Schizosaccharomyces pombe: one gene and its partner. The gene in region 1 interacts genetically with each later gene. Each region holds a gene or a part of one and is shown on either strand. Other genes may lie near its edges.

What was found. A genetic interaction does not mean that the proteins touch.
Region 2: mutations in rga6 (region 1) and dus3 together harm fitness more than expected from each alone (negative genetic interaction), as found in Schizosaccharomyces pombe (one large-scale study listed by BioGRID).

The regions. Positions count from the first base shown.
Region 1 is NC_003423.3:579,436-583,191, reverse strand, and holds the start of rga6 (Rho-type GTPase-activating protein Rga6), read right to left. Parts: upstream 2,048-3,756; 5' UTR 1,946-2,047; coding exon 1-1,945. Other genes in the region: glyceraldehyde 3-phosphate dehydrogenase Gpd3, read right to left, coding at 3,454-3,756.
Region 2 is NC_003424.3:4,427,886-4,431,641, forward strand, and holds the start of dus3 (tRNA dihydrouridine synthase Dus3), read left to right. Parts: upstream 1-1,750; 5' UTR 1,751-1,798; coding exon 1,799-1,839; exon of another isoform or gene 1,840-1,887; coding exon 1,888-3,700; 3' UTR 3,701-3,756. Other genes in the region: dihydroorotase Ura2, read right to left, coding at 1-726, 804-920. UniProt on the Schizosaccharomyces pombe protein: Catalyzes the synthesis of dihydrouridine, a modified base, in various RNAs, such as tRNAs and mRNAs. Modifies the uridine in position 47 (U47) in the D-loop of tRNAs. Also able to mediate formation of dihydrouridine outside of the D-loop of tRNAs.

The DNA.
Region 1 (3,756 bases):
CAGCAGTATCAGAAACGGTGGAAATCTTAGGCTGGGGCTGTTGATTGTCAACAACGACTTTGGTACTCTCATTTGCTACAGCATCATCATTTTCTTGGTTACCCGATTCATTATCGGAAGAGTCATTGATTAAAGGAAGCTTCGAGATATGCTTAACATTAGGATAACTTTCCTCAGATGCATTCACATTTTCAGGTATCTGTTCTGGAGAATCTTCTTTCGGGACTGCAGGAGTAAAAATAGCAACTTGGTCAGTTAACCCAACATCAGAAAAACAATTGGGTATGTCGAGAGAATTGATTTTAAGTAGTACCTCTGGCCAGTGAATAATCAGTCCCTCTACAATCTTGGCTTCAACTCTAGCCTTTTCGGTTTCAAATCTCATAAGGTCATTCACATTTCCAGAAGGACAAGATTTCGAAAGATCAGTAGAAGAGTTACCCAACAATAAAGGACCAAAAATAATACCAAGGGCTTCCGGCTTCATCAAAGTAGAGTCTTTGGTATTTTCCATTCCATTTTCCAACTCTTGAGTCCGTGTAGCTATTTGATGCAATAATGCTAGTAGAGAGCAAAGGATAGAAAAGCGCACGTAAGAATCTATTTGTGAAAAGCAAAGAGCGGCCATTTCATTCCGGATGTCTATAGGAACCTTTACTCTACTTGAATCAACGTATAATGGTACTAAAAGATTCAATATATCTTTATGCGTAAAAAGGCCACCTGGCAATAACATAATGTACCGTTTTAAGACAGCTGCTATATCGATATAACTTGGAAATCCAATACGCTTAAAAATTTCTGATGTTTCATCAAGCCAAAAATGAGGTGGAGAATAAAAGTATTCTGTGATTGCTTTTATTACGGGACCAGAACCACTAATGCGGAAAATTCCCGGTACATGCAAAGCATTTAAAGATAGAAAATGTACGCATTGAGCAAAAATATGTGGGAGCAACAAAGAAGGAGGTGCACATTCAGGAGTGGGAAATGTAAATTTGCAAAGATTTGTGGGATCTGACGTTAAATCGCCGATAGGTTTACCAAATACGGAAGGATTATGAGCAATTGCATTATGTTGATGTGCATTACGATGAGGAAATTTAAAATAATTCGTTAAAGAACGACGATGCAAGCCAGTGGACTGACGTTTTGGAGAGTAAGTAAGAGAGGGGCGGCGGAGGATAGAGGACCAAGATCCCTTGGAAGGGCTTCGCTTTGGAGAATCTTGAGAGGCATTGAACTGTCTTTGAGAGCCAAATGAAGATGGTGGGTATTGGAGAGGTTCCAACGTATCTGATGAGGATAGTTGATTCGTAGCCGACAAGGAGGGAGAATCTTGTGAAGTTTGTAACTCGTGTGAAAGGGAGCTTAGATTTAGGGATGACCTCCCTAGAGGACCATTGTTTGAAGGTTTATCAAACCGAACTTCTGATACTGCGCTTTCTTGAAGGTAAAAGCTAACATGTTCTAGGGAGGACGGAGTATCTCTCTCTTCCAATAGTGTCGAGTGTATCAGCTTAGTAGGGGATCCACATGGAGTGAAATATTTATCAGTATGAGCATCTGGAGGTGAAGAACTTTTGGATTCATTAAATACGCTATCGTCGGAGTACAGAGATTGTTTAACCTCTTTTATCTGGGAAACGTACTCCTCGAGATTAATTTCGTGTATGTTGTAAGTCTGAGCTAGCTCACGAAAGCGTGACAAGCACGAATTTTGCTTAGTAAAGAAAGGAGCTTGCTGTCCCTCCAAATTGCTTGCAGATGATGAAATTGATGTGGAAAGGCCATTTTCCACTTTCGCTAACGATCCTCCCACCTCTAGCGACGGTTCTTCGAAACGTTTCTCATCGGTCTGCGCATTGCTAGACAAGACGACATCCTTGTGCTCTTTCAGGTCCCCAAGAGTTCCATTGTTGAGAGTCGAAGGATTTAAGGTCATACTTCTCCCAACAATTTCAAATTTTACTACACGAGGTTTTCGAGGCCCGTAAAAGCTATAAACCTCAATATATACTCTCCACTGATAGAATTTTGAAATAAATGTCGATTAGAGAGACGTTGGCTTTGGTAAGAACCGTTCTACATCCGTTACTTACTAAGAGGTTCAGCCAAGTAGCAGGCGTTGAAAAGTAGAGTACGAGCCGAAGCGAAAGATAGGTGAACAAGTAGTCACATATTGAACGAACCAAAAACTCATCTTCTACACGGACTATTGTAATTTAAGGAAAGACAGCAGCTTTCAAACTCCCATGGTGCAGTTACTAATGGAAGTATTCCACTGAGAAATCTGAGAAGCAATCTTATTATTAGTTCGTAAGGAATTCAAATGTTTGGCACCAAAGCAGATATTGTTACTATATGAATTGATAATTTAAATAACAATCTCATGCTTAAACACACTTTCAAGCTATTGGAACATGAGACACAAGTATAAACAGTTCCATAGATGAGCCTCGCAATCGAGCGATTGTTTCTCGCTTAGATATAACTGTATTTTTTATGAGGGTACATGTGACTAGCAATGCGGTATCAAAAAACCAAAGGACAAAATACAAAAAACAGGATTAGCTGTTATCCAGAAAAGAATCAAATGCAAGCATGAAATTTTTTGAATAATTTTCTGAAGCACAAACAGCTCTAAGTATCAAACATTAAGAGTTGCGAGAACCGCCTAAATGGAACACTCGCTTTCATCATCATACTTGATGGTCTGAGATTGATCTGGAAAGTGGAGTGAACGAACACTAAGAATGAAAATGCTAAATTTAAATTGCTATCTATTAATATATAATTTTTCTTATCGTTTGACTTACACTTCCATTCTAGAAACTTGCAAATAGGGGCAGTAAAGATAGGCAGCAGAGGCCCTCAAAAGGACTGAAAAATTATTTACTTCACCCAAAAAAGCGTGGGCCAAGTTTATGGAAACATCTTAGCGAATATCTATCATCAAGACGAAAACAATTATCTCAAATGCAAACGGTAATAGAATGCTAACAAGCAACTATGATAACTATATAATGCTTTATAAATCAGTCTACCTTTTTTACCTCCAATAAACTACCACATTTCAAATCAAAATTTTCATACACCACATACTTTACGGATTTTTTACACATTAAAAACAAGTGAAGAAAAAACAATTCATTTAAAATTATATCTTAATCTATTTCGTAGAAAGGTCGTCAGCTATAGAGATCGCCCTAGGAGCGCAATCAAAATGATAACGTGGAATAAAAGAGGAAAATCTCATACATGTCTATCATTATCGTAGCAAACCCCAGAAAAGGAAAAGGGGGAAAACAAGCATAAGAATAAAAAACCAAAAGTTCGCACATATGTAAGACCCCCCAAAACCGAACGCATGTTCAGTTGAATAGCTTGGAGTTTAACAACGGCTGATTAGAGAGATATAGATTGACGACGGAATAAATCGAAAGAAGCAATCTAATCCTTGGAAGCAGTGTAGGCAACCAAGTCAACAACACGGTGGGAGTAACCCCATTCGTTATCGTACCAAGAGACGAGCTTGACGAATTGAGGAGAAAGTTGGATACCGGCAGAGGCATCGAAGATGGAGGAGTGGTTGTCACCACAGAAGTCGGTGGAGACAACAGAGTCCTCGGTGTAACCCAACACACCCTTCATGGGACCCTCAGAGGCAGCCTTGATAGCAGCCTTGATGTCCTCGTAGTTGGTAGGCTTGGCCAACTTGACGGTCAAGTCAACAACGGAAACATCGGGGGTAGG
Region 2 (3,756 bases), on another chromosome or scaffold:
CAAAGCATCTAAACGACCCTCTTTATCAAACACTTCAGCTAAGTACGAAGCAGCGAAAGGTTGGGTAAAAACACCAGCTGCCGGTGGCGTCTTCAGTTTAGAAGACCTAGGATGAGGTGCAGAATCACTCCCAAAGAAAAACTTGGGATTTTTACTGGTAGCAGCTTCAATAAGAGCACGTCGGTCTCGTTCGGTTTTGGCTACCGGCTTGCAGAAACAATAAGGATCATCCTGCCAATCTTTTTGTGTGAGATAAAGATGATGGGCAGTTATAGTACCCGCAACACTTTCACCGCATGCTTTTACTGCCTCAACAGCGTCGGCAGTGGTGCAATGTTCAAGCACAATCTTGAGTTTTGGAAATCTTTGGTGAAGGTCTAGTAAAGTAGGAAGAAACTTGGGCTCAGCCGTAAAAACGGTGTTATCCTTAGAGGGGGGAACTTCTCCGTGAATGTTCAGAATCATACCTGTTTCTTGCATTGCAGCAAAGGTAGGATAAAAGGGTTCGTAGCTTTCAACACCACTTTCAGAATTGGTAGTAGCTCCTTTCGGATATGATTTAACTCCTCGAATTCCCTTTTTTGCAGCTTCGTAAATAACCTCAGGTGTAGTTTCCGGTGAGAGATAAAGACTCATTAAATAGGTGGTCTTGGAGTCAAGCTGCTCAATTTCTTTTTTATATTGCAAACAGGCATCAACGGTAGTAATTGGGGGGATTAAATTAGGCTGTTATACGCGTTAAAAAGTTAAACCTTTGTAACCTTCAAATAAATTTTTTGAATAGCACAATACTTATTACATACCATTACATACGCAACAGAGACTCCACCCTCTGCGACCGTTGGAACTACAGCTTTTAACATATTATCTTGCCTTAGATGAACATGCATATCAGCCAAACCAGGTATTTTCAAACTCATCTTGTATAGGTAGTGGGTATTGTCAAGTTGAGTAACTAGAAAGGTGCACTTTATACTTAGTGCTAAATTAAACCAAGAATAAACAATCTTAACAATTGGTAAAAAAATACTACTTAAAATTAGTATGTTTCTTTCAATATAAATTAGTGAGGGTAATATAATTACTTCAAAAAAATTTACTATACCGATAATTCTCCAACTAATTTCAAAGATTTAATTGATCGGAGTTAAACCAAATATTATTTCTTAATTCTTTTTATTAAAGTTCAGATGCCTAATTCTAAACATAAGAATTCACCAACAGCTTAATTATTAGACCACCGTCCTGACTCTTCGGAAGCATAGAGCTACTTGCTTAATCATTGAAGCTCCATTATTAGATCTACCTTAGTATAAAAGAAATCCGAAACGTGTAACTACTAGCATTTCCTGTTTATGTGTAAATATACAGGTACATAATATGAAGAATTATGGTCATCAGTACAAAGCAGTTTAAATTTAACTTAGTAATATCTTGGCATCTGAAGAATATACAACTCAATGAATAGCAGCATCTCAAAAGTGTGCATTCTAAACGTCTTTAAGATTTATACATTTCTAATTTCAATAGACAGTTACAGCCATTGTTACGTTTTACAAAACATAACTGTGTACCTAAAAGCATATAGCGTTAATATTACTATGCAGTTTTAGAGTTTTTTTTTATCTATTAGGCAATATGATTGCTTTTCGAATCTATCATGTAAACCGTTAATTTTGAATATTGCACTGCTACGTCGTATCTTATTTTCACAGACGCGCACAGAATCTAGAGAAAATATGCAGTTTGCATAAAGCAAACTACTAAATTCAAGGGAAATCGGATTTTTGGGTACTTAATGGCAGAATTGGAGACTGGAGCGGTTCCTATTCGGGAAGAGTATGCTTGAACCTCGCTTTCAATAGTCAATTACTAACTATACCTTAGATTTTTGGTGAAACAAGATGGAAATAAAAAACGAAAGCGTAAAGAGAGGGGTCAAAATAAACGGAGAGAAAAAATTCACGTAAAAGAGAACAACGCTCTTTGTCCAGCTATATCTATTGGGAATGAGTGTCCATATAAAGAAAACTGCAAATTCCCACACGATGTGGAGGCTTACCTTGCTACCAAGGCACCTGACATTGGAGACAAATGCCCTATATTCGAGCGGTATGGAGTATGCCCAGCTGGTTTCAAATGTCGCTGGCTAGCGGGCCATGTTGTTATCAATGCAGACGGAAAGTACGAGCTTATAAAAAAACCCGATGGGCAGTTTACGCTTTTTACCGTAAATACTGTTGGAAAAGAGGTACAGAGAAAGCTAAGAACAAAACAGTTAGATCTATCAAAGGCTGAAAGTATTATATCCGCAGTTTTAGGTGAAGAAAAGCCCGACCCTTCTTCAAAAGTATCCAATATTCCTGAGGAAAATAGAGATGCCACTAGTGCTATTTCCGAAGGAAAAGAGACAGAATCTGTTTCACTGGAAGAAACTGGGGTGTTAAAAAATCAAACCGTCTCGGTCAATGTCGATTTAAAAGAAATCTCTTCACAAGCTCGGTCAAACATCGCTTTACCTACTTTACGGCCTCAAGAAAAAAATCTCATTGACTGGCGAGACAGAAAGATTCTAGCTCCTCTTACCACCGTTGGAAATCCACCTTTTCGTCGTCTTTGTGGCTCTCTGGGTGCTGATACGTTTTACTCCGAAATGGCGATGTGTTATCCACTTATGCAAGGTCATCAACCTGAGTGGGCTCTTGTTCGTGGGCTAAACTATGAGCGTGAAATGATGCGAGGTGGTCGTCGTGGTATATTAGGGGTCCAACTAGCTACCGGAAAACTTTGGCAGGCCACTAAAACTGCACAAGTAATAGCTGAACAATGTGATGGCGTTGATTTTCTCGATTTAAATTGCGGTTGCCCTATAGATTTGGTATTTCGTCAAGGCGCCGGTTCTTCTCTTCTCGAGAATCCTGGCAGGTTACTTCGTAATCTCCAAGGTATGGATGCGGTATCTGGCCAAATTCCTGTCACCGTAAAACTTCGTATGGGAAACAAAGACGACCACCCAGTTGTCAAAAATTTAATTGGTAGAATTTTCAACGAAACAAACACTTCAGCTGCTACATTACATGGAAGATCTCGCCAACAGCGATATAGTAAAAACGCAAATTGGGATTATATTGGTGAAATTGCTTCTAAAGTAAAAAGTATGAATGAGAGAATAGATGAACTTCCTGAGGACTCCTTGCGTACCCAACCTCTTTCGCTGATTGGAAATGGAGACTGTTATTCATGGCAGGATTGGTATGATGGTGTTAACAAGGGTGTTGATACTGTGATGATTGCCCGAGGTGCACTCGTTAAGCCATGGATTTTTGAAGAAATTGAAGCTCGTCAGTTTATTGATAAGTCATCAACTCAACGACTCGAAATGTTGGAACAATACTGTAATAATGGTTTAGAGTATTGGGGTTCTGACTCTCAAGGAGTCAATACGACTAGGAGATTTTTCTTGGAGTTTATGAGCTTTTTCCATCGTTATACACCTATAGCTTTGTACGAAGTTCAAAGGCCCAGATTAAATGATAGACCGCCTCTATATACCGCGAGAGATGAGATGGAAACTCTCTTGGCCAGTAATAAAGTTACGGACTGGGTTAAATTGAGTGAGTTCTTCCTAGGTCCTACTCCTGAGCGATTCACCTTTACACCAAAGCACAAAAGCAATAGTGTGGAAGAGGCAGAGGGATAAACAACTTATGGTCTTAGTGTATCGAGCATTCACTTTCTTCATATGCATCATCAACT